Lepisosteus oculatus: one gene and its partner. The protein of the gene in region 2 purifies or fractionates together with the protein of the main gene of each other region. This does not show direct contact. Links are inferred from orthologs where the notes say so. Each region holds a gene or a part of one and is shown on either strand. Other genes may lie near its edges.

What was found.
Region 1: the proteins of elavl1a (region 2) and igf2bp1 purify together in Homo sapiens (co-immunoprecipitation; 3 studies listed by BioGRID and IntAct, with this or other methods). This does not show direct contact. The link is inferred for Lepisosteus oculatus from reciprocal best matches to the Homo sapiens genes ELAVL1 and IGF2BP1.

What each region holds. Positions count from the first base shown.
Region 1 is NC_090723.1:9,502,912-9,519,149, reverse strand, and holds the start of igf2bp1 (insulin-like growth factor 2 mRNA-binding protein 1), read right to left. Parts: upstream 5,987-16,238; 5' UTR 5,415-5,986; coding exon 5,240-5,414; intron 3,812-5,239; coding exon 3,751-3,811; intron 1-3,750. UniProt on the Homo sapiens protein: RNA-binding factor that recruits target transcripts to cytoplasmic protein-RNA complexes (mRNPs). This transcript 'caging' into mRNPs allows mRNA transport and transient storage.
Region 2 is NC_090724.1:1,298,350-1,314,443, reverse strand, and holds the start of elavl1a (ELAV-like protein 1a), read right to left. Parts: upstream 8,575-16,094; 5' UTR 8,422-8,574; intron 6,344-8,421; 5' UTR 6,222-6,343; coding exon 6,186-6,221; intron 2,467-6,185; coding exon 2,289-2,466; intron 1,399-2,288; coding exon 1,295-1,398; intron 143-1,294; coding exon 1-142. Other genes in the region: tspan37 (tetraspanin 37), read right to left, coding at 13,072-13,158, 14,863-14,946, 15,645-15,797. UniProt on the Homo sapiens protein: RNA-binding protein that binds to the 3'-UTR region of mRNAs and increases their stability.

The DNA of each region.
Region 1 (16,238 bases), on a different chromosome or scaffold from region 2:
TAGGCAAGAAAAATATTAAGATGATGGAGAGTCTTGACACCAGCATGGCAAGTGAATTAAAACCGTCCGGAATAATCAGTTTTAACACTGTTCCGACAACACACAAACACTGGAAATTTACTAGACTAGGGGTCTGTGTTCTTTCTTTACAGCAGAACCGTGAGCTTATTCTGTCCTGGCAACTTCCTAAAATTAACATAAGGGATCACCCATGGATGTCTGTAAACACCAACCAATTTCTCATCAAATAAAGGTGACTTCTTTTGATCAATGAAACTATAAGCTTAGAACCGCTGTCTTAAACAATGCATGACTAAGACACCTCTATTAATATTGTTAGCATTTTAAAATAAAGCATAGGTTGAGAACAGGTATTTCAAGTGCTAGGCAGAAATGGCTTCAGTTCCTCTTGACATTTACATTTGTGGTGTTGATGACGGAAGATGTCTGCAGGTACATTTCGACTGGATTCCTTGTCAAAAGCTAACTCACCAAATCCTGTCCTGCCAGTGTGAGGTCACAATCCCCTCTGTGACATCACAATGACCCGCAGCCCCGCCTGGCGACACAAGGATGTGTGGCCCATTGTGCGAGATAATAGTTTTACAACCGAACCTCCAACACTCCAGCAACAAACAGATCTACCCAAACAAGAGGCAAACGGGAACATAGCATTCAAACCAATTTTTCGCCACCCTGACCCGTTTCACGTAAATGTTTCCGTTCGGCTTTTGTCTCGTTTTTTACCACGATTTCCATCTTTTGAAAAAGTCCTGATTAAAACCGACAAAGGCCACATTCTTCTCACCCCCAAGGAGAGCAAATTCACCACAGTTTGTCAGGAAGTGTATAGGAAGTGCTTTAATAACATGAAAAGCCCTAACATACCAAGTCACATGTAGAGATGGCAGAAGAAACAGGGCCTGTTCACAACTGCATTCCTATCCCAAATAGGATCCGAGTGTTACGCCAGCATCTCAGTCAGGCCCTGCCTGAATTTCACCACAATGCAATGACACCCATCTTCACAAACAAAAACAAATCACACGTTTGAACTAAAAGTGAATCAGCCTGTTAAAAACTATTTGTGTAATATGTACTAAATCACCTATATACATGTGCATTCTCTCTCCTTAGCCATTTGTGTATGGAAACCTCTTTTTATAAACTCCCTCCTACAAACATTAGCCTTCTTAAACACTTTCAAGAAAATATTTTTTTTCCCAAACCATATCTTGCAACCAAACTGGGAAAAAAAAGCCTAGGAAATTTTCGAGCAGTCTTGTAGACCTGGGAAGGTTATTTTCACTACTCCTCTAGGGACAGCTTCAAAGATCTTCCTGAAATAATACACTGCCCATAAGAACAGTTTTCCCCTCACACAAAGCAGACTGTCGCCTTAAAATTGAAGAGTGTGAAATCTCACAATTCTGTTGTAAATACTTTTTCGTCTGCAGGAATTAAGATAGGTGCACGGGATCTACGTCGCCGTATATATGCCTTATAAGAGGAGTAGCCATGTCGTTACAAACCAGACCCGAGAGACGCCATTATTTTGTGGCGAGTGACGTAAGCGGGCCCTGTACTGCGAGAGAAGCACGTGTTTGGAGTCAAGATCTTTTTGTCCCTTCTTTTAAAAAATATTAAAGTTGAAAGTTTTGTTGTTGTTATTTGGTTCATTTCTTTTACCCCTTGAAGGCTTTTGATGAAATACGTGCATATTTATCGTCAGCCACCACAATGATAGTTTAACTGACGCATGGAATTAATTAAAATACATTACAAATTTGTAGGGAATGAAAAGGCAAAGGCGCACACTCCCCTCGCTATAATAATGTTATTGCCTGAAATTGCAAAACATGTTGCTCTGCTGCTGCTGGAAAATTACTTTTTTTCCCTCTTAAATAAAGTTTTGGACTCTTTCGCTTCGGCCTATAATTCAGATCAATGTAAAAAGGAAGACATTGCACGTCGAACACGTATTTCTCTTCGCTGATCATAAACAGGTTTCCATAGCGCGTATACAGAAATCGATTATTGCCACTGCTGACAATAATTCTCCCAATAAGGCGGAACAGACCTGTCTGATTCAGACTACGCCATCCGCGTGGCTTTTATTTTAAATCCAGAAAGATTAAACTCCCTTTTTTATCCTAAAAGCCTCCATTTTGATTTTTTTTTTAAAAAAAAAACAAACTTGCGCTCTGTTCGGTAAAATGTTCAATGAAATGCTAACAGGCCGGGGACGACATTCTAAAAATAACAATTTAAACAAAACCACCACGAACCCCCACGCCAGTCTTGCGGCCTGGTTCGGTGTGTTCGAACCACACAATGGGCCCGGTCAGTGGCCGAGCGGTCCGGTTCTTGTGGTCCTGGCCGGACCAGAACGTCGTGCTAAGGGACAGGAGGGGTCCTGATCCCCAGTGGGTCACCCCCCTAACCCCACCACCCCACGTTTGGGGAAATATGCGCTTGGGGGCTGGGGAGTGGCTGAGGCCAGCTTTGTAAAAACTTGTTTTGAACACATTTTAAAATTGGGGAGACAGAGGGGAAGAACACCTTTATGTTCTACTGAGCAGTTCAGTATTTTACAGACCCAAGAATTGCACATTTGTACTCCAACCGCGCACCTCCCCCGGAACCAACACATCCACACAAACTCCAGCGACTGTACTGGGCGCCTCGATTATTTTTGTTTAAGCGCTTTCAGAAAACAAGCTGGAGAGGGGAGTTTTAAAATGTGTAGCTGTTAAAACGGCAAACGTCTTCGAACTGAGAAAGTGTCCTACAGACGACTTCTGCGTTCAGGGGGGCAGTTAATGCACAGAAAGATACTGTAGCCGAGAAGCCAAGATGAAGATTTTAACGTTTCACTAGCACAATGCCAAAACAAAGGGCACCGCTTGAAAGAATGTTTCTACTCCACACAAAAGGCACGGAAGATACTCCCCAACAACATTTATTACCGTTTTCCAGCCCCAAGTATCTAGGTGATGAAGTTAAGTTGTATTTAATATTAATAAAACCTCGCCAATTATTTCCTAACAAACAAATGCATACTTTTTTTTAAAAAAAGCGAAACATTTCAATGTAAAAAAACTTTAGCAAATTTGCGTGAAATAATTTAGTAACCAATTTTACAGATGCATAATCTTCGTTCGCAAACACACCAGGTTTCTCGAAGCCCAGGTAAATTAAAAAAAAAACAACTAAAAGCACAACACCGCCTCACTAACCTTCATGACCAGTAGGCCTTAAACTCAAAACCTGCAACTACAACCAAGACATTCTGATCAGAGCTGTTCACTAGCAAGCAGTCCCAGATTCTCAAAAAAAAAGACATTTTCTCCTCTTTTTACGTGCATGAATTTCAAGATGGCGAGAGAATGAATTGAAATTTTAGCAAACACTAAATTTCGTGCAATTGACTTTCAGGGTGTTCTTTTAGTGAAAATGTATTTCTGATTCGAATCGAAAGCAATCCGTCATTTTTTTATGGGGAGGGGGGAGGGAGGGTAAATTACGACTAGTCTTTCCAGCCTAAATTAAAGTTTGGCGTGGAGAGGGAGTTGGACTTGAAAACAGGCCCAATTCGAGAACTAACAGTGAGGAGGGAATTCGTCACCCTACGAGATCGGATCCCTTCTTCATTGCACACCACTGAATGCAACCACACAAAACTCATTCCAGGCCACCCGGAGCTCAAGAAAACTCGACACCCCCAAATAATTCGAATACCCGAAGTACCTTTGCTTCTTGGGCACAGAATGTTCGACTTCCATGCGCTTTCCGTGCAACTCCACTTTACCTGAAAAACAAATACAGTCGTGTTTGCATTAACGTCCCCCTTCTGTGTACCGTCCGAGCAGTTTGATTTTTTTTTGTTTGTGGGGATGTTAACGCATTTTCGTTCTTGTCTCGTCACGGCTGGCTTTCACAAAATGGAAAGAGTTTCCTAGCTGCTGCAGTTAGAAAGTTGTTGTTTGTTTTTTTTTTAATTGAGGAAAGATCCGAATGGGTCCCAGTTCCGCAACCCTGACGTGGTAGTTCAAAGATACGTTTTTTTTTAAAAAATAAAAAGGGTACAACTTCATACACTGGGTACTCGATGTAAGGGAAAAAAATTGTTACAGGCACGGAAGGTGACATATCAACACACCTAAACATCTGCACGGCGCCTTTCCTCTCTGTAGTCGTGCCCCAAGCTGTAATGGTCTTCGTTATAGAAATTACTGGGCAGCGGCACGACTAGGGGAACTTTTACAGCTTTTGTCTTGTTGGGGTGTTGCTAACTTTTTTTCACCCCGCTTTTCTGCGGGGTCACAAGTTTCCCCGGTTCTCTCGGCGTGGAGCCGTTTAACTATGACGAAGGAAAACAGTCGCCCGCCGTGTTCTCGTAGCGCGACTATAGCTGAAGCGCAAGCAGCATGGCGACCTTCGCGCTATAGGGAACATCACATGCTATAGGGGGTAATGTACAAAATCAGGAAAATTGATTCTTTAAAAAAGGAAGGACCGAAAAACTCGCGGACGATTCGCCTATCGCCTGTGACCGTACAACGGTCCCTTCTCTCCGGTTATTCGAGAATCACCTCTCGCTTCTTTAAATCCATAAGGCATGTTTGACCTAATCACTGGCTATTTTTGTACAAACAAATTCAATTCCTCTTATCTATAATGGCCTATCATGACAAAAGGGGGAGGGGATCGTGTTCGTATAGCTAAACCCTTATATACAGACCAGAGCAATGCCACCCCTCGGGAGTTCTCTCGGGGACTGGATTCCCAATTAACGTTTTTTTTTAAATTAAAAATAAGAGGTCCAGGCATGCCTGCCTTAAATAATAAAAGATATCAATAGCAACCTGTTTCACTGGGACACATACCTTGTAAGGCACCAGTTTGCCACAGACCATTTTTAAACTCTGCTGCCGATTCGACTCACCCCGTTTAAAAGTTATCTTTCGGCCAGGTTTTAAAACACCTCCCACACGGAATTAAACGGAATGACCGAAATCTGTTGGTTTTCAATCAGATAATCCCCCTCCCCCCGACACCCCTCTCCTCTGCAAACAAACTCAGTGGATTCCGAAATTGGAGTGAGAGAAATTCACGGAGTACGCGTTTTTTTTTTAATCCACATCCCCTCCAAAAAAAAAAACTCACACTTCGTTGTAAATTGTTTAAATACACCGCTCTGGTTAAAGAAAGGGCTCGTTACTTTTAAAGAGCTTACCAGAGAACGTTTCGATCGCCTTCATCGCCCAGTGGTCATCTGGACAGTCCACAAACGCGTAGCCAGTTTTCAATAGAAACTGCCCAGAGAAAGGGATCTTGCAGTCCTCAAAGACTTTCACCAAGTCCTCCGAAGTCACGTTTTCACTCAGATTTCCAATATACAGCTTGTTCATGGTGGTGAAAAACACAACTGTTACCGGTCCCCCAGGAGAAAAAAAAAAGAAATAGTTTTTTTAAAAAAAAAAACCCACAAAAAAAACCAAGGACCCGAAATTAAAATTGGAACCAAAAAACAAAACAAAACGGAAGGACGAAGAGGGAGAGTGGCTACTCGGAACGAAGGAGAAAATAAAACGGCGCCTCGAAATTAAAATTAAAAAGAAATCGGGGTGAATGGGTGGGAGAGAAAAAAAAAGTTGTGGGCGAAGTGGGGTCGCCGCGACCGGGAGCTGCCGAATTCGGATTCGCCGAGCGAAAGCGGAGACGTCGAGACTGCGGCGCCGCGGATCTCCAAGTGAATCGCACGCACTCTCGGCGAACTGGACTGGGGAGAAGATTGTTGCACAGGCGGCGATGGTGCTGTCGGCGGCAGCAGCGATAGTAACAGTGCGATGGCGCGATCAGGGGGGAAAAATTGCTCCTCTCTCTCTCTCTGCCCCTAAACCTCGAGTTATACCCCCGCACCGTCACAGATCCTTCTGCCTAGCTGTGGCACCGCCTCTAAAACCCGACCTGAAAAAAAAAAATTGCCTCAATTTTTTTTTCTTCTTGTGTGTGTGTGTGTTTGCAAAGAGGAAACCACGTGGTCTCGGAGTAACGAGAGCGAGGGCCGGCCCCTCGCGGATGGGTGCGCGAGACAGCCCGGGCCTTCGTGCTCTGCGCTGATGTTGCCGAGGGCGCGCGCATGTCACGGTGTGTGTCCGTCTGTGGAGGCGGGCGCGAGCACGGGGAGGGGGGAGCGCGGGGTCGCGCCGGCGGGCGAGTGGGTGTCTGTGTGCACACCCCCCCGCGCCATCGCGGGTCAGCTCGACACACCCGCTTTGGGGCACCAGCGATGGCGATGGGCGCTCATCAGCGCTAGAATGAATCATTTAATCGCCCTCTCGGTCGCTTGGACACGCACACCCAGCTCGAGCCCCCTGCCGCTGGGGTTATTGTATCTACAGGGGGGAGGTCGGCGAGCGAGGCGGTTGGGGGGTAAATTGTGACCCCGTGATCCCGTCAGCCTGGTGTCCCTGCCTGAGCGGTATAGACCATAAAGGCGGGCCGCCCGGGAGGTTCCCCAGCAGACAACGTCGAGAAGGGCGGTGGTTTTGCGAAACGCCAAGCCGAGAGGGTGGCCATTTCGTTGGCACAGAGCCTTGGCGAGCCCGTCCCGGGCAGGCGCGGCGCAAAACGAATTCTAGAAGCGTTCTAGAAGAGGAGGGGGGTCGGGGCGCGCTGCGCGGGCGGGCCGCTCCCACTCCCCCCAGTGTCGGCTACACGCGGGGCTGGAGACCCGGAGACGGGCAGAGCGCGAGTCGGAAAGCGGCGCCCGCACCCCGCAGCACGCGCGAACACAGCGCCGAATCGCCCCCCCTCCCCCGTGCCGCCGCCCTCCTCATCCACTGAGCTGTTGCAGGCCCGCGTGTATCGTGTAACCACGACAGGACGGCAAGCAGCACGACTCTCTCTCCCTGGTTTCTGTTTCTTGTTTCAAAATGGTGCTGCCAGGCACTAGGCCTCCAAGCGCAGTAGCTGCCGCCGGGAGCGGAAAGGCTGTAGCGCTCTGTAACAAACACGTTTCGTTGGGATCTCTTCTCCCAACCCCCTTTAAATAAACATTTACCAGACCTATATGGTGTAAAAGAGAACACCGTTCTTCGAGTAACGCGTTATCCCCACAGAAAAATAAACGCAATTCATGGGCCACCCTAAATGTAGTGAAACTGTGACCAGTCGAAATACAAAATCGTCTTTCACAAGTTAGTTCTTTGTAACCTTTGAAATCGATCCCTCATGCTGCTTTTTAGCACGCGAAAACCCGCACACAATGCACTTACTGACTGAGATCTTTAATAAATATACACAAAGTCTGACCACCCCCCTAAAATCAACGTCAGGGGAAACGGGAATGCTCAAGTGAATTCGGTCGAGGTGGAGGTGGGGCGTGGGGCGTTCCACGCACACGGAGGAAATCGAGTTACACGTATCGCGTCCGAGTTGTCTTTTTTTTTTCTTGCAACAGTTCTGTATTCCAGACGGGTACTTGTTCGTTACTTGTAACACGCGTTGTGGGCAGATTCAGCTGGCTGCGACAGCTGCATGATGCAAGATCGCAGCGAGTTTTCTCTTATTGAATTAAATTTACTGGGTCACAGATAGGGGCCCCAGCCTCTGGACTCCGGACTAGAGGGTTGCGGGTTCATATCCCACGTGGACCGCTGTTGCTGTGACTTTGAGCAAGACAGTTCGCTCAGATAGCGGCGGTAAACGCCGTGCTCTATAAATAAATCTCCGGGTCATTGTTGCAAAAGCGAATTTGTTCTCGATTGGCTCATATGGTTAAATAAAGATCAAATTAAAGTTATTCTGCAGTAGTTGTCCAGCCTTCTTTTGACAGTCAATTAAACCTATGAGCTGTAATCAAGCCGAGATATAAAATAATCTAAAAATAATTATCTGCGGGCATTTTACAGTTTTTGATTAAAATGCTTGTGTTTTCCTAAAACACTAAGGGGCAGTTAAGCTGCGCGAATAAACGAGACTGGCACATACACACAAATCCAAACTTCTTTCTTTGGGGGGGAATGTAAATGGTAATACTTTGTTTAGTGGCTTTTTATTTTTTGCAAATCAATTACAGTTTGAAATCAACACATCTTAGCCAAAGCAAAAATCTATGCCATGAAAAAAAATATTTCCAATAACATCTCAAACGATATTGCAGTCTTTTATATTCTGTTTCTAATTGCATTACATTATAAATGAGAACAAATCAGAAAAAGATCTGTTCTACACAAGTAGTGTAATTGAAATACACGATCTCCCCCCTGCAGCGAAAAGCTTTACCGGTTTTGTGCTCATTGTATCCGCGTCATTTTTCCTGCTGAAGGAATGGAAGAGTGGGCGCTGTCAGGTACCCCTCTTCCTGCAGCCTGGACAGGAGACAGCCCCTCTGTCGCTATGAGGCCGTTCTTACTGATGCTGGTTTCACCTGCCCTGGCTTGAACCCTCAGCCGAGAGGTGGCTCTGTGGCTCAGGATCTGTGCCTGTGGCTGGAAGGTTACCAGTTCAAATCCCGTGGCCCCCAGAGGACTCCAACTCTGTTGGGCCCCTGAGCAAGGCCCTGAACCCCAACTGCTCCAGGTGCTGTATAATTGCTGACCCTGTGCTCTGACCCCAAACTTCTCTCTCCCTGTCTGTATGTCTCAGGGAGAGCAAGCTGGGGTATGTGAAAAGACAAATTCCTAATGCAAGAAATTGCAGAGGGTTAATAAATTGATGTTGTTATTATTATTATTAACCTCAGGGCTTCCCGTGAAGCAGGGAGACAGAGGCTTAAAAAGAAATGCAGTGCCCATTTGTCAAAGATGAAGGTGACCCAGTGGGAGAGTAGCCGAATAACACCAGCGCCCACCTGGACAGAGACCCGCTGCGTCAGCCCTGTTGGCGGCCCGGGCTGGGAGACTGGCAGGGGCCAGAGGCCTCTGTCTGGAAGAGCCCAGCCAGAGCTGGACTCTCGTCCCCAGGTCACTCGCTGGCTCCAGTCGGCCCTTCCTGTTCCCTGCCGGAGAGGAGAGTGTCCGCGCAGGACGGACGCTACCTGGCTGACCACACAGCCTCACGGGCCTTTCAAAAAAACAGCATGCTAACCAAAGCTGTCTTTCACGCATTTTTTTAATTATAAAAGCAAACAGAGCTACTGGTTTAGGAGGGTGGGAGGGCTGGTGGAAAGTGCTAAAAGTCACCCTTTGACAAAAACCGCACAAATAAATAATTGATTTCTGCTCGGGGCCTTTCCAAGCCTCTCCCAGACTGTATCAGTTGATCTGTGTGCACATTTTATTGTCCCTCAGGTGCGTCTTACTACTGGGGAGAAGCTGAAAAAGTCTAATCCCGTTCAGAACAGGCGAGCTCAGCGCGGTGGAGGAGAGGGCCCTGCTGGAACAGGGAAGGGCTTGGACACACAGCCGGAGCGTCTTGACCGCCCGGCCCTCAGCCCTGGAAGATCTCCAAGTCCAGGAAAAGATCTCAGACCTGCCCTGCTCCCAGACAGGATGAGCAGCACGTTTCCAACAGAGCACACCGTCCTCATGCAGCGTCATACACCTGGAATCTGTTCGTCGAGGATGAAGACAGGTGTCCGTGACTCATGTTCATCTCTGCACACATTCCTTCGCAAAGGTAGACCAGCACTGTGCAAATGTACATGAATTACATCACTAGACCTTAACAACACCCATTCATCCAAGCCAGTGGTATCTGATGCCCCCTCTGCACACTCATTCATCCACTCTGGCTGTGCAAAGGGACATAATCTACAATTAGGGAAAGTTTAAAACACACAATTAGTTCTGACTAATTATTGTCATTAAGATGTAGGATGGTCGTTTCCTCTGTTTCACACACACACACACTCACTCTGCAGGTCGTATGAAGTAAGGCGTGGCTTTTCAAAAATAAAAACCAAAGTATGGTGTGAAGTAATGAGCTTATTATGCTTACTCCCTCTCCCATCATGCGGGAGATTGCAGAGACAAACTGTGTTCATGTTTGAACAAAACATCCTAGCGTGCACCAGGCTCTAGGCACCATGGTAACGTGTTTTGGTGAACAGGGACTGGATGAAGTTAGAAGGCTGCTTCACATGGAGGTCTTTAACATGGAGGTGTATTTGAAAGATAGAAGCAGCACGGCATCGGTAATTGAGCTTTCTTATACGTGCTGTGGTCTTCGCTGTGCTGAACCCTAAACTGGGGGGGGGGGGGGGGGGACAGTGGAGGGCTGGGGGGACACACTGCAGCTGCCCTGGGCTGAAATTCAGAACCAGTTCTGCACGGGCCAAGTTTCACAGCAAACGGACCCAGGATTATTGCATGAAAAAGAAAGAAGAGAATTCGGTCGGCACTCTGCTCCCTGCAGTCCACTCTCCTTCAGCGATATTGCAACCACGAGACGGACTGCAATGTTTCTTTTCCGATACATTTTCTGAAGCTGATCCCAGTCTGTTTGGTCGGAAAGCCACGCAGGCAGGGAAGCAGAAGAGGGTGTTTTTTTTCACATACAACCTGGGTTTAATCCGGTTACCCCCTTCAGTGCAAGGACCTAAAAGGATAAAAGCTCTGAAATCAGATGGCATGCTGAGTGTCGCCTGAAGAGCACCATCACTATAGACATTGTATTGGTCTGCAAAAAAAAACAACAACCATAAACATGGTTAGCTGATGGGCAATTTTCAAAACATGTGATCTCACAAAACTACCATTAAAACCACTGGACAAAGCAGCACTTGACATGTGCATTCAATTTGCCCCAGCACAACCAAAACACACCCCCAGGTCTGTGCATGTTCAATAGTTTGCAGTAGAACATGCTGATGGAACTTCCTGCTCCTTTGCTTCATGATGTTTTTAAAATGAGTAAAAACCTTCGGCACTTCCTTTTATTTTTTAAGGACAGTGGACTGTACTTCATCTAATACATGTAAATGAAGATTAAACCAAATATTTGTATTTGCATAAATGTATTATGTACAGTACTTCAGGTCTTCAGCTGCGAGAATCACATTTAAAAATCTTCACTGTTACCGTTAAACAAAATGAAAAGGAGCTGTCTTGAAGATATGGCACACCTGAGGAGAAATTGACATAGATTCTCAAATTCTTATCTGAACGAAAACAATTTCACATTTGTAAGGTGTCTGCAGACTGACTGCAGGAGAAAGCTGTTTCTTTCATTTCTCAAGGTAACACTTGACTATTGGTAAAGTCTGATCTTAAATTCTTGAAGGTCACGCAGAAAAAAAAAACGTCTGAAAGAGACCTATTTTCTGGTTAATTTTTAATGTTGAACAGACAGTGCATTTAATTTCTGACTGAAAAATATATATTTTCTTGCAGAATAACAGTTCAGTGGATGTGATAGACAGAATTACACCACAGCACAAAAGGGATTTAACTTATAATTACTAACATGTTACTTGTGTAGGATCATCTTTAGAAAAGATGTGGTCCTTGCAGATTTAATTCATTATCCATTCCCCCTTCACAAAACCTCTCATTAATCATACAACCATGTATGAAATAATAAGACACTGTCACCAGTAGAAACAAACAAGGGACACAGCTGACTTTTAAGTAGCTCTTTAAGACCTCTGAATTGCACCTAACCTGAAAAAGAAATATCCAGGTTGCCTACAAGCAAACAGTTTTTGTCAGGACGTTTTACATCAATCAATGTTCTATGAAGGAGCATGAGCTTCAGATTTAAAGAGCTTTTGATTTTGTTCAGACGTCTCTTATCTCATCTCTCTGTCTGAGTACATAACTGCACATAGTAAGCAGTCTGCCATATATTTCTCAACAGTCATGTTTTGTTTATTTGTGTGTGTTTGTTTGCAAGGCAGTTTGCCAGACTTTTACAGCGTGATCCTTTGTGTTTTTCAAAGCAGTTCAAAGATGCCAAAGTGCCCAGCCATTTAAGTGACAAGCCTTCAAACCAGATTAGCAGTGTGTGAGCTCCTGACTGCTGCCTCAACAGGAACATTAAATAATCTTCCCAGTTAAAGGCTGCTCTTAATCCAGATTAATTAATCCCGAATGCAAAATTTAAAACGCCAATGCTGTCAGGTCCTGCAAGAAGGTGTCGTTCTGTAAACCGATGCACGTGCTATATTGAAGCCACAAGTATGGAACTAAAATTGGTTTGTGGCTTTTAGAGCTGCTTGGGAAATCATCAGAACCGATTTACATAGTCTCACACCCGGAAAAAGCTTTCGTTATGAGGTTCCCCTCCCGACAGTAAGGAGAAACATCACTTGATCGGCTCGGGCGACAAGTGTGTCTGCAGACTGCTTCCTCTGCTCCTGCGTCCGGGGATGGGTGAGCTGCTGAGACAGAGAGGGTTCAATCAATCTTTATTGACAGAAACACAAAATCCAGAGTTTAGATCTTGATTCCTAGAACCCTACCTTAAGAATTAGGAAAATAATTAGGAATATCCATCTATCACGGTTTACAATCTTACACAGGACGTTTTCGACACGCCAACGCTGGTCAAAAGTTCCGAGGTCGTGAGGGGATTTATAAAACATGAATTCTAACGATATCCTGCTCTTCGCCAACCCTTCAAACATCCTCCCCAAGTCTGCAGAACCGGAACCGGAGATCTTATTTTTCCGAGCGTGAGCTACTGAGAGGCAGAGGAAGAGTGAGGCGACAGGCACGGGGAGGCGTGTTGAGTGTGTGCGTGTGTGTGGGTGAACAAGTTGGTGTATCATGGGAGAGAATGATCTTATATAAAGCGTCTCTCGTGAACATGAGGCATCTTGACTTTGCAGGCACTCTGGATGTATTGACTAGTTGGATCCACTTCATTTTATAACTGTTTACTCTTTTCAAGAAATGAATGTAGGCACAGGTGCTCAGTTTTTCCATCTGAACATCTCCCACTCATTTGCAATTAAGACCCTGCTTTTGCATGTTTTTCCCTTTGTGAACTGAATTCCACCATCATGTTTTACAAAACGTACACCACAATATCTACACACATGATTGCAGGTAAGTACCTTTTTTTTCCCCACCAATATGGTGTGAAATGTAACATGTATCTATGATCTTAACAAATCATGTTTAAGAACTGTTCATCTCACTCGTTTTTTTTTAAGATGCCTCAATAAAATTTAGTTTTGTTTAGAAACTTTAATTACGATGTAAACACTGTCTTAAAAATGAGTTATTTCTCCCTCCATACTTCATGTTTAAGACAGCTGCATTAATGCTGAGACTTCCAGCACATTCCTGTAACAGCATTCCTAAAAATCCCTTCTCTTCTTTGTGAGATTTTAACAAAAAATCTTCTGTTTTAGATTTTATCCTGCAACTTTCTTATTTTATTTGGGTTTAAACATTTTGTTTCCGTACTATAATAGTTTAATACAATCTAATAAGTCAATATATATTTTTTAAAAAGATACATCTATTGTATGATTTTAATTGTGGGAGTTTCATTGTATAATGCTGAAACGAACGACAAATGAAAATGCATTTAACACATCAATGTGTCCATTTGCTTTCTAAATCACAAAATCTTAGATTTGTCTGCATCTTGTAGAAACAGGGGACTTCAGAGTAAAATGTACATCATTTCTGCGAATGCAGATACTTATGTGGACGACAAAAAGAAGATTACGTCACCTGATCAGCCACAGCGGTCGATTTGACAACACAGGTTAACCAAAGCCTAAAAAATAAAATCAAAAGACGTGAATTAAAACGCAATTCCTACATGTGGTTGCACGCACAAATAGAGTATTTTTTCTCACATTGCAGGGCTACAAGCGGCCAGTTATCAGAAAAGCACAACACGGAAGCAGGATGCTCCTGAAAGCATGTTACTGGTGTCCGGGAATGCTGCAGGGCCGAGTGGTGTCCGGAACCCGTAGGCCCGGGGCTCGCGATCCGGGGTGCGCGCTGGCCGGGGGGTTCGGGACCAGTGCGGGTCTCCTCACTCCGGACACACCGGCTGGACAGCGGACTGGTCCGGATAGCCACCGGCCGAGGCGGACAGGAGTCAGACTTTCAGACCAACCTTAACTACATGTTCCTGCTGGTCTTTTCCCTTAAGTTTCTAGATTCTCGACACACACACACGTGCCTCGACGTCTTGTTGCCCAACTGTTCAAAACCTTAAATCAAATTTCTCAAAAGATTTAAAAAAATAAAATAAAAATGTAATTGCCTTCATTTTTCTTATAGATGAATGAAGTGACACCATTTTGTAGCGGAGTCTTTTTTTTTTTTACGAGCAAGACAAAAACAAGCTTTCTGAACTCGACACGGGGCACTATGTAAGCTTAAAACGTGCTGGGTGTTGATATTAGAATTTAAATCGATTAAAAAACAATTGCACATAAAAGTTTTTTTTTAATGGTATGCAGTTCCTGCCCCCCCCCCCCCCAACAAACAGCAACACATTCTGCTCCTGAAAACCGCCGTGAACGCGCGCAAGCGCACAACACCCACCCTGAAGTATGGCGCGCGCGCACGCATTCCACTGAAATGTACATATCTCGTGCACGACATAAGAAATCGGAGATAAAAACAGAATGGGTTTAAAACCCGTCAAGAAAAAAAAATCGTTTTAATGATAAAAGAGGGTATACTAATAATACCCTACAAACAATAAATGAACTTGATTTTCCAATTCCCCCATGTAGCCGTGAATTTAAATTTTAATTAAAAATAAATATTTAGAAAGCGCTATTTCAAGCCTCGCATCTGCAGGCGCTATACAGGACAACAAATGAGAACACAAAAGCAGAAAAAAAATGAAAATGCAACAAAAAGGTGAGTTAAAAAGATTGCTCCGAGACCATATCTGTTGTCGAGTTTTTAAAAGTTATTTTCCTTACGGACACGGGCAAATCCACAGTTTATGTGCACGGAAGGGGGTCGGTCCCCTACACAGCCAGCCAGCAACTGCGAAAACCAAGTGATGCTTAAGTCTGACAGTAAGATTGGAGAAGCTCTGTCAAATACCACGGTGCAGGGTTTGTAAAGCCTGGTAAATTCACAGTTGGCAGACGACGATTTAAGCGAACAAAAGCACAGAAGATGCAGAACGAGGAACTTATATGTTGGATACTGAAATGCCGGGGACGCAGTGAAAATCGTATTACTGCACAGGTTAGGGTTAGCCATTAACCGTAATGGGTAGTTTGGGACGCGGGGTGACTTCTCGAAAACCGAATCACTTTAAGTACCTCGTGGAAGATCTATGAATGGAACTTCTCAGAAGGTTTCACCGAGGGAGACAACCAATCGGTAACCAATCGCTTGCGAGTGCTGCCGCCGCGTGGAGGGATCGGGCGGTGCAGCCAGCGGGCGTCTGTCCCCCTGACCTCGCCGCCTTCCGGTCAACCAACGATAGGCCAGGTTGTGGAGACCACGCACACGAGATACTTTGCTTAAAACCTTTCTCTCTCCCAGAACAGCGCGGGTCGTCTTGTCTTTACTCATCCTTCTCGTGTAATTCACTCCTCGCTCACAGTCTCGGCACCCTAGTACCTCCTCCTCCTCCTCCGCCTTCGCCTGTTTCGGCGTCTCATCTGTGCCTACAGCCCCCTCCAACTCCTCCTCTTCCGCCAGACTGACAGACAGACCGGCAAAATCAGCCTCACAGACGCCGGATTCGTCCAGCCCCGGATCGGCTGAGGACTCACCTGCACCCCTCGGCAGACGAAATTATAATCTGACATTGCATTACACTGTCATCAGTATCAACGTGGAGCCAATATTTGATACTTAGAACACGCCGCATTCCTGATGCGTTAGAAGAAAAAACAACAACAATTTGTTCAAATGTGTCTGGTCCAGTGTCACGCCCACCCGCGGCTCCTCGTGATAAAACGATTAGGTGTGGAGAACTGTTCGGACGGAAAGCACCCAGGAGACTCTTCACGAAACAGTCTTAGGACCCCGCAAGCTGGAGTCGTTGGAAACAATACGTTTGAAATCAGGGTGTCTGAGAAAACCACGCGCAAACAAAACCCAAAACAAAGTTTAAAACCAGCAAAACCCAGCGGACAGGAGGGTCTGGTCGGACCGGGACCGAGACCTCCCGTGATTGCTCAGTCCCGGTCAAGCAGACGTGTTTAATCCTCCGAGTCCAGGCGCTTAAAACACAGCGATTACTCAATAATGCTCTCGGGCTTGCTTTAGAATAGTTTCCCTTGTACTTTGTAAAAGACGTAAGGCAAAAGTTGACAAAGATTGTAAATCGCCCCTGATGGTGAT
Region 2 (16,094 bases):
CGACGAGGACACGCGAGTTAATGATGCGGCCGTATCGTGTGAACATGTCCTCCACATCTTTCTGTGTCATGGACTTGGGCAGACCACTTATGTACAGATTCGCATCCTTAATGGTGTCAGAACTTGGCCGGGCATAGGAAACCTAACAAAAGAAAAGGGAAACATTCTTTTAGTTAGAATACTAGCTTTTTAAATGGCATTGAAAAAATCCAAAATAATTTGCTGCAGTAGAAGCTCTATAAATGGGAAGTTTTTCTTTACGGACTAAGCAGTTTATCCACCTTTAAAGCAGCTCTCTACAATGCTGGAAAAATTAAACCTTGCTCACTGGCCTGTAAGACATAAACCTTGTGCTAACAAACTTTAAAAGGTAAAGGAAGATGAACTTCTACTGAATATTGTATTAACTGCATTACAGAATTAGTTCTGTATATTTTCACTTGTTTTTAAACACATCCTAATGAAAATGTTATTTCGAAACTGACTCGTTTCACTTTCAAATTTGTATATTTATCCAGGTGTCATTACCCTCCACTTGACAGTAGCCATTAAACAAATCCCTTAAGATTAAAAATCTTAAGACAAGTACTAGTGGATTTGTCTGAATAAACTTTCCAACAATCTTTTCACCATATAACAAACCTCAGACGACTCCACATCAGACCCCAACCCACCCACCTTAAAAAAGAAAAAAAACTGTAGACAGTAGGGCATGTGTGCTCTAAAGTACTGAATTCCTATTCCTAAATGAGGAGATATAAAAAGGTTTGCAACAGAATACACATCTTGCACAGACATTTATCATGCAGGACTTCTGGTTGATATGCCACCCCACCAGAGGGAATAAGGGTTTGCTCCAGATACAATATAGCTTAGGAAAGCAGTGAAGCTACTGAATGGAAGACAAAGTTAAGATCTGGTCAACAGGGCCAATACAAAGTATACAGAATATTCAAGTTTAGCTGCAATAGTTTTCCCTTCCCCAACACTCACTTGGATATAAAAGTCGTCAGAAAAGAAATCCTGCACGACAACTCTCTTGGCAAGAGCAAGCCAGTGGTCTGGGTTTTGTTTAAATCAGGTAAGATGCAATTGCACACTGGACAAAAAAAAAATCAATTTTAAACTAACCAGGCCTTTCAGAACTATGTCCCAGTGCTCACCTCCTCAATCTTCAACATAAAATGGATGCTTTGTATCACAGGGTTAGCCCTCTGCTGCCCAGGGACTATTTATACACAAGTCACATCTATGAGTTGACACATGTATACAAGAACACCTCTTTGCACGTTACCTTGATAGTTTTAGACTGTAGTCTCAGCCCATTGAGTGTATTGATTGCCCTTTCTGCATCACTAGGGTTAACATAGTTAACAAATCCGTACCCTAAACTGTGGCCTAGAGAAAAAAAAGGAAAACAATAAAATAAAATAAAAAACGTTTAATGGCTCCAAATTCTGTAGACTGGAAAAATTAATTCTTCAACAAAATAAATCTGTACAATGCATGCTAATCTATAAAGTTCAAACATGTACAAAAGAAAACTGCCTTCACACATTCACAAGTGCTTTGCTGGAGACAGAATATGGCCAAGACTATAATTCAAACCTTAGGATGTTTGTAAAATTGAGACTGGGAAGGATCTAATCTCTAATTACATGTTATATAAACATAACATTCTGAAAGGATGTGTATAAGCCTTGGTCTCTCAAAACCACCCTCCTAATAAATAAATCCATTTAGTGTCCTAAAAGTTGTAACCTAGAGGTCCAAACTGCCAATCATTTGACGTGCAGAGGACAAGATTTTGAGCCTTGCTGCAGAAATAAAAAAAACGCATTTTATAACATTTGGGTGCAAACAGGAAAAAAGAGTTGAGTCTTTAAGACGTACATCCAATAATCTGAGGGAACTTATACACTACCTCTATGAATGCACACACAAATGGAATGCAGCTCCATAACTAAGATTCTGAAGGTATGGATAAGTATTTCCATACAAAACACACACTGAGTTGCATACGAAAAGCAATAAAATAAAAGCACCTTCTTTGTGCCCATAGTGACTCAATGAAAACTAGCGTTTGCAATTTTTTTACAACTTTGTTTTTCAAGTAGGACTTGAAAAAACAGAGCTAAAAAAAAAAGTAGGATTTTCACTTAACTCACATATGAGCCAAGTTAATGGCACACTCACTCACTCAAAGACCGCTTGACAAGGTGATCTTGAATGGCCATGGAAGGCCTCCCTATCATTATGGACTCGCTCGTGTCTCTAATGAGGATTACCTGCCACTTTGTCGCGGATGAGCTTGGCGGACTCGACCTCCCCGATGCTGCTGAAAAGGCTACGCAGCTCATCCTGGGTCATGTTCTGGGGAAGGTAATTGACGATCAAGTTTGTTTTGGCATCCTTTGATTCATCTGCCATGTGGTCTTCGTAACCATTTGACATGTCATAAACTTCCTAGAAACGTGAAAGGCAAAGGGTTACATTTTAGTGCACTAGAAGCCGTGCACAAGCTCAGGAGTACTGTGAATAAAGATAAGGAAAACCAGCCCCTAACCATTTCATTTTTAAAAACAACAACAGTACTTTTAAAGAGAAAAGCTCAACCAAAAGCAATAAAATAAAACATGTTATATGTTATGTTAATACAAAAGAGGTGTATTGTATGACCATACTGCTGACACTATACTCACGCATCTTTCACTAGTTAAACCTCCAATGCAACATACACCACAATCTGCTGTAACAGACCACGTTGCTTTGATGTTTACAAGTAATTCCCCCATTTCTATTTTTACTCCATTATATCAAATGTGTCATTTCATTCAAGTACCACATCTTAAGATGAAATGCAAGAATACTGAAGTACAAAAAGCAGAAGCTCACATGGTAAACATGAAGAAAACTGCCCTCATTAATAGGTTAACAGGTAACTCTGGAAAATGAAGCAGATAACAGTGCTGCTTAACAAGAATAAGTTTATCAAATGACACAAATGCAAATTAAATTGAAAAGCAATGCTTAGTTGTTAGCAGTGATTCTAGGCTACATTTTTAAGGTAGACCACCTCTGACTAGAACACCGACTTAAAACCAAAGGTACCCAATTCTTCAACTCCTTCCCTGATGCTATGCTCATGCTGAAAACAGACATTGTGTAACAAACATGACTTAGAAGCACCTGTACTAAATGAAACTATACTGGTAACTTGCTAAGAATAAAATAAGCTCACTTCTGAAATAATAATGGTATTATCTAGGTGCATAAGTACGAATGGATGCATTCACAAGAGAGAATAATGACTTGCCCCACCAATTTTAAAATCATCTTACAGCCTCTGATTAAAATAAACAACAAATTATATTTCAATAGCATCACAAACAAGGAAAGAAACTGTGCTGCAGCTGACAACGTAACATTTCTACTGTCATAATATCCACTGAACAGATGCACTGTACTGAAAATCATATTCCAATTGATAAACCTGCACGTAGTATTTACAAATAAGGTTCAAACAATAACTATGATTCCCTGGTACACAAACCATTCTCTGGCACTTTTTCTCAAGCCAGAGAGCAAATAAGGGAAACAGGCCTTTTTGACCCCTGGTAAGCAGCTACCATAAAAAAGGCGCTTTTTACAAAAAAAAACGTTTCCTTCAATACTGTGGTCTGGGCACAAGTCTTGAGAGGTGTAGGCTATGTACTCAGCATGGGTTCACAAAGGGAACCAAAACTAGCTGGCATGTTTAATGCTTTGTTGCATGAATGATGTCAATGTTTAGAATAAAAAAAATACATCTTATAATGCTCTCAACCTGACTCACGTCTGCATTGAGAGTGCAATGGCAAGCTGTTCGAAATTCTGAATGAAACCCTGTGTTTCAAATATATGCAGCAGACCTAAGATTGCAAGAATGAGGACATTCATAAAGATCAGGGTTTCTGCTTTGCAGACATTGTTCTGTTTGCTGACGCTGCTTGCAGGACTAGACTACTGATTCAGAAAGTTTCTGCAAAATGTTCAAGTTTCCCCACTGACAAACACCTTATTGTCATTCTTGTGCAACACTGCATACTTAGCAGTTACTAGAGAAGGCTCTTTCATTATGTCCAAGCCCCGGAGCTGCTGGGGAGAATCAGCTGCAGCAAACTGAACTTGCTGAAACTCAACTGAAGGCCTTGCGAACTGAACTCGAGTCGCTAAGGGCAGGCCAGTGCTTTTCAGTCCTGGCCCTGGACCAGGATAAATGGGGGGCGGGGCAGTGGCTCTGCGCCTGTGGCTGGGAGGTTGCCGGTTCGAATCCCGCGGCCGGCAGAGAAATCCTCCTCCGTTGGCCCCCTGAGCAAGGCCCTTAACCCCAACTGCTCCAAGGCGCCGTATAAATGGCTGACCCTGCGCTCTGACCCCAGGCTGTGTCTTATGGAGAGCAAGTTGGGGCATGCAAAAAGACAAATTCATAATACAAGAAATTGCATATGGCCAATAATGTGATTTTCTAAATGAACATCCTCGATGATCAACACCACTGTGAGCTGAATGATTCCAAAATGCATTAAAAAAAAATGACACACCCTGAAAGAAAACTAGAGGAAAATCAACTTTCAGCAAGTTACACAATGCTGCCAATACTTTCAAATGTTACTGTGACTTTAAATCCCTCGGACATAAGTCATTAATGGAACATTAAAGGGCTTCTGGACACTACGTCATAAAGGTTTAGATATTAAACTAACCAGTGCAATTCCCCATCAATACAATTATCATGCACTACTTGTCTTCAAATATCCTGCAGCTCAGTTTTATATCAAGCTCAATCTGTGTACTCATTTCATGCCACAGAAGGATGGCACACTCAGGACACTACAGAGTATCTCCCTCACCACAAAAAAATCCTTACTCCTTCACACTATACTTGCCGTAAAATGTGCATGAGCTACACCTTGTGTAAAATAATTATATCAGGGGATTCTGACACAATATTCAAGCAATTTCTTTATGTAAAGCGTTGTGAGAGTGTAGATCAAGCCACTCAGCCTTGCTGTAGAAGACAACACCTAGACGCCTTTCAAGAAATGGTAGGATGAGATTCTTAGATCAACTAGCTACCAAATGAGCACCATTCATATTTTCACTACAACAGTAATATAGCAGGTCTTTTACCAAAAGATTCCTTATTCTTTATGTGCACTGTGAGAGAGTGTGATAAAACAGTGCAACATCACTCTCAGAAAGCCAAACATCTGAGAACACAGAACATTTTGTGACGAAAATGCTGAACAGCCCCTTTACCAGCTTTGCATTTTTTTCAGATTTTCTTAATTAAAACTGCAGTTTTGGAATGTGATAAAGCCGAGGAACAGCTTACTAACACTAATGTTACAAAGCTTTTTAATTGTAAGTGTACCGAAAGTGGGTAGCTTTACAACTTTCCACTTCCACCTGCTTTGACTTCAAGGCATTCCTTCACAACCTCACAGATTGCAGCTTTGCTCAATTGGCTCCTCAAACCACAGACAGCAATGGTCTGAACAACATCAGCAGAGTAAAACTTACTTATCTCACTACAGTCTAAACCCATTATGTATAGTATTATTCGTAAACATGATATCTTACAATACTTACAAAGAAATGTAAGCTGGTGTTAAAATGTTGTGACATGAAACTTTAAGAACAAGCCATATACAGTGCTTAACTGCTAAAGCTAATAATTAAGGGTTGGAGAACACAAAATGCCTTTAAAGAACTGATTTTTAAAACTTTTCAGTAAACTGGTTAATCCTTGCTCTGCAGTGTAATGGCCTGAAATTGCTCTAACTGAAATGCAGTGCAAGTTCCCTGCTTGCTGTACTGCCGGATGTGCAGGAAAATAGTAACAACCTTAAACTTGAAAGGGGGGTGGGGCTAACCCAAATTCATCACACTTGTCTATAAAATATTCAGCCAACCTACAAAGGTAGGCATACCTTCTTCAGCTTAACAGCACCTACACCAAGTTAGTCAAGTTTTAACTGTAAACAATTTTTTATACAATTTACAAGAAAAGGATAGTATAAGAAAGAAAAAATGGCAATAGAAAACTCACGTTAAAATATGTCCTGAAATATTTAGGGCATTATATCTGAATACAATACAGTTCTATACAAACTTTCTTAGTGTACAAATCTGCTACTCACTTTTAAGTATCTAATGTGGCCCCTTCTGACTGCCATGAAGACAATTCGCAGATCCCAAATCTGAAGGTATCAAAAAATAAAGTAATAAAAATATGCTGTGAAAAATGGGGTAAGGGAGGGAAAAAAACAGAAGGTGGTCAGCCCTTTTCAGGAAATACCTGTGGGGAAAAAAAACAGAAAAATGGTCAATTTTTCAGCATGTATTTTAACACATCACTTTCATTGTGCCTACAGATATTTTATTACTATACCCCTTCACAGAAATGCAGCTAGTTTTACATTAACTATAAACCCTTCATGGGAGACCTGTAGAAATGTTGGCAGACAATTTGGATTCTTACAATTTGTAAAACATAAAATGAGGGTGAAAATACCAAAGGGAAACAATCAATCTCTATTAATCTCTTAAACTGCTTTAATTCCAAAAACCCAATGCATGAAACAGATGTGTATACTATTAAATGACTTCTGTGTTAACATTTTCAGATTTCAACCAGTGGCTATACTCCTTGCTTCAGCAGTGGATTCCCAACATTTTTGCAAAAAAGGCACAACTGTTTTTCTCCATCTTACTTTCTGCAAAACCAACATACTTTGCGATGCATGCAAATAGCAACTATAGTTGTTTTGATTAAATTATTATGACTGAAGATATTTTACATATGTGAAAAATACTGTGGGCCCAGCGCATATCAATAAAGATCCAACCTGTAAAACAACCCTGGTAAAGGTCTATAAACCTGTTTTGTTTTTTACTTTATCACAATTCACTACACCATAAAACAAAAGTAAACTCAAAACTATACGATATTTAAAAAAAATAAGGATTTTATATGTTAAACATTCACATATGCACGCAAGACTCTTAAAAAGCATAGAAGCCAAGACTTTTTTTTTGGAGGGGAGGCAGCATTGCGAGAATAAATTGAGGTGCGTTTTCTGGCTTAAACAAGAGACACTCGCAAATCTGGTCGTGCAATTTTATCAACACCTGGGGGACCATGATTACAGACCTCAGCTACAAAAAGACAAGGTCCCGTTGAGTAACTAAAAACATAAACGCTCATTCGTGCTCGGGGAGACCTGAGCCTGGATGAAAAACGACTGGGTATCAGGGAATCTCACATTCACGGTGAACAGACCAGAGTCCCACCGAGGTGAGCGCACATTCTTCAACACTGCAATGCACTGCTGAAGACACAAACTACCAGGGTACACGTAGTTACAGTATTTAATTGGTAAAGACGCGACAGCACACCGGCATCGCATCAATACTGTGATCACGCCACAAATGCCGCTTCTCACACATGCAAACGCTGTCTGGGGGAAATCTGTCCAGGACTCTCCGCCGACAGACTCTGCAAACGAGCTAAGCGTTTCATTTTAGCGGCTTCACCGGCAACTAGCCTACGGGACCGCAGCGAAGGGCTTCAATTTATTCAGAAGAGGCCGTTCTCGGCTTCATCGCATCTGATTTTGAAACAGACCGCCCAACTGGGCGCAAGGACAGGAAAAAAAAGACACCAGGGAAAGAAAAGCCGCCTTTTAGCTTTCGGTAAAAATCAAAGATCTGGGGATGCAACCGAGTTTTATTTCCACACTAAGCTGCATGATTAATAAAATACTCGCCAAAGACCATTAAAAGACCATTAAAACTTTAACGAGTTTCTATACGACTTTTCTGCACCTCAGCTTATGGACAGATATGCAAATGACATTTTCGGAATGTAAATACAAAATCATTACGTGTGAGTATTTACGGCTAGTGCGCTGGTCGTTTCTAATCCAAGCCAAGTTGCAAAGCCCTTTTTTTAAAAACATATACGTGGAGAATTTAAGATATTCGTCACAGACTCATTCTGCTTTTCCCAGGCATAGGCTGGCAGCAGGCTGTGATGGTGGGGGGGCGTGAGTTTACAAGCACTTACACAACACAACGTAAAAGCAAAACAGAAAATAAAACATGAAAATTACCGTTAAACACAAAAACGTGCGAATTAAATAATGGTCTCTCATGCCCTCTTTCCTCACAGGCCCTAAATCCCCGCTGTTTCTTTACATCCACAGCGCCTTCTGCCTGCTTCCATTCCCGGTCTGAAAACCCCGCGCAGGCGGCGGCTACTCGGAGGGGCCTACGTAGGCCTCTCCTCGTCACCGCATGGCGACCCCCCGTTTTCATCCATAACCCCGTCATTTTCTACACACCGAGCCGTGGGGACGTTTCGAGGCGACTCACCTGCTTAACCGTAACTCCGACGCTGTTTTTATGGTAAAGAGCTCGACCCCGGCTCTGATGTCGACGTTGTTATTTCGAAGCTACGGCTCCTCCTGACACAATGAACACCAGGATCCGCGACCACTGCCGGCGAGAGACTGGACTTGCGCACGTCCCGCCCCCCGTCGTCCCCTATTAGACAATTCCCCTGTCACTCATTCCCGATGTGCACCTATATTGGCTATCTTATTTGTCACGGTCAAATACGTCAGGGAGCTCCCGCCTTCCTCGCATTGTGATTGGATGAGCGGTCTGTTTGTCCTAATAACGTCTAGTGCAATTGTCCCACGGTACCATCAATCACTTAAGATTACATTGTTTTTTTTTCACCCTCTATGTAGTTGCAGAGCTGCGGAGCGGCCCGTATACATTAACATCAGGGTTGGCTGGGTCTGTTTCAGTGATCGTCAAATAATGGGCGTTCAGGATTTATCGTATCTGCGTCCAAGGTCAGAAGCCTCCCAGTAAGGACACGAAAAGTGGAGAACGATTTTTTCCCCGTCAGCTCTGCAAACCGTGGCTATAACGGGGAATCGCGATACTGTAATGCGTTATAACCTACCCTGTATTTGCAAATGAGATCACCTGTCTTATTTTTTTCCCCGGGATGCAAAAAAAGCACGCCTCAAAATAAACTTAGTACCTCGTTGCTGGTGAGTTTTGCAACGTATCTGAGAAAAGAAAATCTAATGTTACGTGGGAATTCATAAATCTGGAGTCGTAGCTCGGTGGCGCAGCGCTGGGGCCCCAGCTTCAATTTCTGATGCACGGAGTTTTCCCAGAAGCCAATTAACCTACCAGTATGTCTTTGGAGTGTGGCAGGAATCCCATAGCAATATAGTGAGACCATACAAACTCCATGCAGACAGCAACCCAGCTCTGTTAAATCCCTCTTGTGCAGCTTCCGTTGTAATTGTCTGGCTCTTGCTAAGGTGTCCTTTAGGTACAGTAGGTGGTGAGGGGTAGGAGGGTAAATTGTTATACCATTGTCTTCTTAGTTTATTCTGTCACAAAAAGAAATCAGTGATAATCTTGTCAGCAGACATTTGTGAATGAAATATACCAGTAAAAAGAGTGGTCATTTTATCAACATTCAGTATTTGGAGTTAATTTGCATTTTTCGTGTAGCCTCCTTCAGTACCGATACCCGTGTAGCAGCTGTTTCCTCAGCTGATTTCTAGGGAGAAATTTCTAGTTTCCTCCCACTGTGCAGACATCCTGGTGGGTTATTTGCCAATGTGGGAAGACTGGCACCAGTGTGTGCCTTGTGCTGGACTGGCATCCTGTCCAGGGTGTACGCTGCCTTGTGCCTGTTGCTGCTGGAGACAGGCTTCAGCTCCTCTATGACCCTGGAATGGATTACGTTATTAGAAGAAGTTATACAGAAGTAGTTAGTATTGACAAGAGAACTGTATTTCTTTTCCAGAGTGTTGCAGAAAAAGCGTTCTGTATTGGAGTATCCGCACTCCCGTCTCATGGCTGTTATATCATTTTGAGCTCAACCATATTCACAGACAAAAGGCGTCACAAAAATGTAAAAATAAAATGAAGCCATGCTGTTACTTCCGCTTTACAAGGTGTGTCATACGCTTTGGTTCATAACGGCTGTAATCAAATTGCTTTACCGTGACCCCTCTGGTTTCCAAACCGGTTTCTGTGCCTCCAGCTCAGCCTGCTCGAGGCAACACACTCGGGATACTTCAGATTTCCTACCAGGAGGAATGAAACACCACGTCCAGACTGGCAGTTCACTTGCTAGGGAGCGTTCTTTCTTTTTTCGTTCCTGTCCGATGTGGAAACCTCCGGCGTGGTTCTCAGCTTGTTGTCCTGGCGCCTCTGTAGTTGCTCCTGCCTACGGGCTCCTGCCCCTCGACCCCTCTGCACAAGAGTGCCGAGACCCCACCTGTTCTCTCGCCAGCACCCGCACCCTGGTGGTCCTACCCTCTTCATGGCAGTACTGACAACGAAGCCTGATCTTCCTCTCTTTCCCACCTTCAGAGTCCAGTAGCCCCTTCTGCATCTCCTCCTGGAAGGTTTCATACCACCTTAAGGTCAGCTTCTCTCAACTGATCCTCTTTTACTCCTCTCCTGCCAACTGTCGTATCTCTATTCTATTTGAACCTTATACCCTCTCCTACTCGGGCACCAACAGAAAACACAGATCATCCTTGACTCCTTCCTCTCCTGTTCCCAACACTTTCTTTCCTATTCCTCAGCAAAATGCTCAGCTCTGGGCTCCAGGGTCTCTTCCAATCACACTACTGTAAGTCTCTTTGCTGGCCTAAATCCCTGCACTGGCTCCTTATTGCTGTTTGCATCCAGTTCTCTGCTCCCTCCTCTGCCTGCTGCTCTCTCCTGCCCCCAATCCCTGATCCTCCCTGCACACCCTCCCACATTCCCTCGGACCCGGATCACAGCAGTCTTTCCGCTCCTACTCTAGCTCTGGCCATGCAGCGGCAGGTGGTGCACTTCAGCAGTGGACTGTGTCCCTTCTTCTGTGTAATGTGCTTTGGGGATCCTTTGGGATGAAAAGCTGTTTTCTCAAATACAGTTACCCTTTCTGATAGATGGGCACTGCGATGACTCATCTGCACACGCTGTATTTGTTTCTGCATGTTATCTCCATGATGCTGATAAGCAGCACTCAGTGACAGTGACCATGTTACCAAACTAAACATTTATTCCTGGAAACATAGGAGTTCTCCCACTGCTGCAGACCTGGTCTCTGAGCAATAGTGATTGAATCCCAGCTGGGATTCAGTACTGCACCCATCACACTGCTGTCTTGTAGGTTTGCGAGTTGCTGTTTTACACCTTTTTGATTGGAGGGCAGCTCAGTGGTGCGGTGGCCAGCGTTGCTGCCTCACAGTGCTGGGGCCCTGGGTACAATTCCTGCGTCATCTCCATGATCTTCCCCTGGCCGAGTGATTTTCATCCAGGTCCCCTCCAGTCCATAGCTATGCTGGTAGGTTAACAGGCTCCTGTACAAAATTGGCCCTGGTGCAAGTGTGTGAGTGTGTGTGAGGGGCTTAACGGTTTGAAAACAGATTGATGTATTGATTGGATCTAACGGTTAGGTGCCCTGGCTGACTAATAAATGAAGCAACAGTTACAGGGACTTACTTAAGGCCCTTCCAGTACAACATTGCCTTCTCAAGGATCTGCAACAAATTTAACATTTTTAGAAAATAAAAGCAGGAACACATTGCAAATTCTGTGCCTTTAGTACTGGATTAGATAACTTTAATTAAGTGCCAAAAAGTGCATTTTTCCGCAAGCATTACCCTTTCATCAGGAAAATACAAGTACTCATTCAACAATTCGGCAAAAGGGTTACAATGCAATTTCCTATCTGAAAATAAAGAAAAAAAAATAATGAAACAAGAACATTCAAGACGACCCACAAGTCCCAGAAAAACCGTGGCGTTCGATAATGCTGGGACTGGGACTGAACGGCTTTAGTAGCCGTCATCTCATTTCTGGAAAACACAAACCTCATTTATTTTCTGGAGAAATCTCTCCTGCAAGTACAGCGTGAACCTAAGGGTTCCACTTCTCCCTCTGAAAGCTATACACTTGGTCCATCAGATAAACCCTTTCCAAGGTAATCAAGTCAAACCAGTATTAGTACTGCTTTCAACTTCTCTAACATCCCTGAGCAGAGAATTTCCTTTTCTGAAAGCAATAACAAGCCACCCTCCTTAGGAAGGTAGGAATCCGACTAAATACTCCAACTACTGTAATGCCCGATTATTTATGCACAGCATGTTGAGTTTATTCCAGGAGGAAGCAAGTAAGAAGACACTGTCCTACAGCTAACACTGCAACCACAAATGGAACACAGTCATGCAATTTTATGCAGCAGCTTAGTGTACTTAAAACCCGAGAAAAAAAAATATTACTTAAGGAGACCTAGAAGTTTGAGAAAAGGTTAACAGGCTGTCATAATTACAAAATACCTTTACAACAAGCAGCAAAGTGCTACACATGCCTTTCTCTGGGACCTTTTATTAAATTCTCCATTAGATTTTAAAAACCACAATCCACATACCAATTAATTCTGATTACTGGGAACCAGGCAGCATGCTGAAACAGGTGAGCTCCTCTTCAGTGCTACAAGTGTTTTCCTTTTGTGACCGAGGCGAAATGCTAGAAGTACACTACACATGGCAGAAAGAAAGGTGCCTGACCATCACTTCTAATGCACTTTTAAATAACAGCCATCAAACGCCGTTATCAACTGGTCACCCCCTCCACCAGTGGGGCTGTACAGAAAGATCCACATTGACCTCTGTAGCAAAAGACCATTCTGTACATAGTAAGTTTTTCTGTAAATCTCATTATGGGTGAGATTTTTTTAAATCCACAGATCAAAATAAACCTGTAGTAAATTAAATATACCAACATCTTTTTGTCCGGTGTGATGCTGTTCTCTGCGTGTTGCATGGTTCTGCAGGGTACAGGCCAGTCCCAGTCCTGGAGATCCACTCTGCCAAAGCCCTCACATGGCTTGCTAGGAGAACGTCCGTGAAAAACAAGGGTCAGAGCTCAGGTGTGATGGAAGAGCAGAGATCCTGTGGACATTCGGAGCTGCTGGTGGCTGTTCTTGCTCTAGGAGGAAGGGTCTCGGTCCAGGATCCGATACTCTTGCAGTGGGTATTCCTTCATCAGCTGGACCACGCTGGCAAGAGCCATCACCTGCCAATACAGAAGGCAGTGTTAACCGGGGATCGTAGAGGGATGTTTTCTTCCCCTCCTGCTGGTGCCTTCATTCAAGGAGGGATTAATGAAATATCTGAAATTTGGACAGTGAAACACTAACGTCACAGGCGATGTGTCCAGTTATGTAATGCAACATGCAAAATGATCTAACCAAGCAAACTCAGAGAAAACCAGAGGAGGGCCACCTCAGAACCTACTGAAACACTAAACAACACTATGGCAAAAATAAGTCTGATGAGCTGCGAGGACCAGCAGCAGTAAATGCAGAGTGATGGAGACAGGTAGCAATATGACAGAACAACAGTCTTGCACTGGATGTGTCCAGAAGCAGCGAGCCAAAGAGAAGTCCAATACAGGAGCTGCGCGAGAGAAATGAGAGAGTGGGTTCATGGCGAGAACAGCAGAGGGCAGACTGCAGCTGCAGGGAGGGTAGCATGTAGAGCTGCAATAACCCAACCTAGGACATTCAAGAAGGCCAAAAACCAGAATTTGAATAGAGGAGTTTGTTAACAATGGATATATCCTTTGAGGTCCCCAGATGAGGTAGCAGAGTTCAGGTGTCTTTGCAGATAAAAACTCCTAACAAAGAAGTACTGTAAATCCAAAATACAGGACAGTTCCAGGATTTTGATCTCGAGGCTAATCTGGAGAAAAGCTACCACCACTTCTCCAGCCTACACTATTCCAGTCTGAAGTCTCACACTGCAACACCTTAATACACCCAGTGAACAACTGCATACTTGTATGCTATTTACATACACATCCTGTCTCAATGGCCTCCTCTAGTGGCCTTGCACTGTCATTGCACCCCCTAACACAGCAATCTGCCACACCTGAAAGACATTTATAAAGGAGCAGTCGAAGGTGTTTGGAAAGAGCTGGGCAGAGAGTATAAATAAAGTCAGTCATGTTAGGGTACATAGTGTAGAGCTGTGTATACTGCATTGACCTCAGTATGTATAGTGTTGGTTGCAACACTATAAAAAGGACATAAATGCCCCAAAAAGAGCTTAAGAAGCAGAAACCAGACCAAAATGGAGCATCATACGAGGTTAAAAGAACTGAATTTCTTCAGTTTTGATAGCAGATGAGACTTTGTTTCAGGATCTTTAGTACAAGGGAATTTGAATTGTTAGGACATCCATATAAATTCAGTTTGCTTGTCTTAATGAGGGCTGTGGCAAAAGTCAAAAGTACTGTAGGCTTGAAATACTTTACAAAGAGTTAATTAATACTGAAACTGCGGCTTCATTTCTCTCATGCTAGCCGAGACGGGCTTTCATTTTATACAGCTAAAACAATGCAAATACAGCATCCCAAACACACCAGGTCAAAGTGGCTAAACAAGAAAGGTTCACTTGGTGACGCTTTTAAACATTATAATAGCAAAAATGATCTCAGAAATCAATCTAGAAGATAATGTAAATGGACACCACTTAACCATTCTAGATACATACCTTACTGCTTGTTAAATATCTACACAGTTTTAATAGTCAAGTTCTAAATTCTTAAACCAGGTAGGACATGTGAGTATTCTAGATGTGACAGAAAGAACGGGAACCTGGAATTTCAGAAGCCCTTTAGGCTTCGTGTTAGAAAATCCTGAACTAGACAACATTGGGATGCTACAAGAATTCATATAGTTTTGCACTGCACTCCTTAAGTTTCATTAGTACTGACCTGAATTATAGCTATCACAGCAGCAGAGATGAGGGTTACTTGCAGAATAAAGGTCAAAGCATCTTTAAGTTTCTCCTGGCAACCCTGAAAAAACAGGAAAGAACAAGAGTCTTTAGCCTTGGTCCAGCAGAGCCCCAATCCAATACAATTTATAGGTTACTATAAAGCTCCCATTTCACATGACTGGGGACATTTGCAAATTAATGGTCAAATAATAAAAACTCAAGGGAACTCTAGTCCCTCCAGGGCTGAAAGATATTCAGATTTTTGTTTTCAATCATCTCTAAATCATTAGTTTTAATTATTTAGTTTAACCAACTAGAAATTGTTCTATATCTTTTAATGGTTACCTTTTCCAGCTGGAATGGATCTGGTTTGGCGATTCCTGCTACTGAACTACAAAGCTATAAATCCTTCTGTCAGATCAGTTTTAAAGTAGATTTATTAATCAAGAATAAATGAACTGGAGCTACAACTGCCAAATAACACTTGTTTTGCACAATTAACTGTGTCAAAGCATTTTCAAATCATAATCTTGGATCTTTGATGGTCATCTCATAAGAATGACAAGTAGTTTGACATGTGTAGCAGTGCTAACAGAGCTAGAGCTCCCCCACAGTAAACCAAGTGAGAATGTAGTGGGATGCGGTGGTATCAATACAGGCAGCTCACAGGACATCGAAACAGGAGCCCCTAGCGCACACTCCCCTTGCGCTGGATAATTAGTCAAAGATTACCCCAGCAGAGTCCCGGGGTCTCCCGGGTCCCGCAGGGGGCAGTACCTGGGGGTACAGGAGCTCCGGCTGGTGGACGCTGCCGCTGCAGTTGTGGGAGGTGGAGTTGCAGCAGCTCAGAGGAACCTGAAGGGAGCCGCTGTGGTTAAACCAGGGAGTCGCCAGCCAGTCCTGGAATCCCCGCACCCCGCAGCAGCGCAGCTGCAGACAGAGCGCGGCCGGGCGTTAGCGTCTGCTCCGCTCGCCGCACCTTTTAACTGGAACCAGCCCTGCAAATACTGGACTAGCCTACAGGCAGCTCAGAACAAGGTCCAGTCCCGTGCAAGGACACCACTCCCCTACACTGCACTGAAAGCAGCAAACAGCATCTGTGCATCCTGATGAGCACATTCTGACTACATGGAATACATTGAATATTCAAGTATGATAAAAATGTAACCTGTTGCAATCCAACATGATGCTGTATGATGAAACTGCACATTTACAAACCAGACTGTT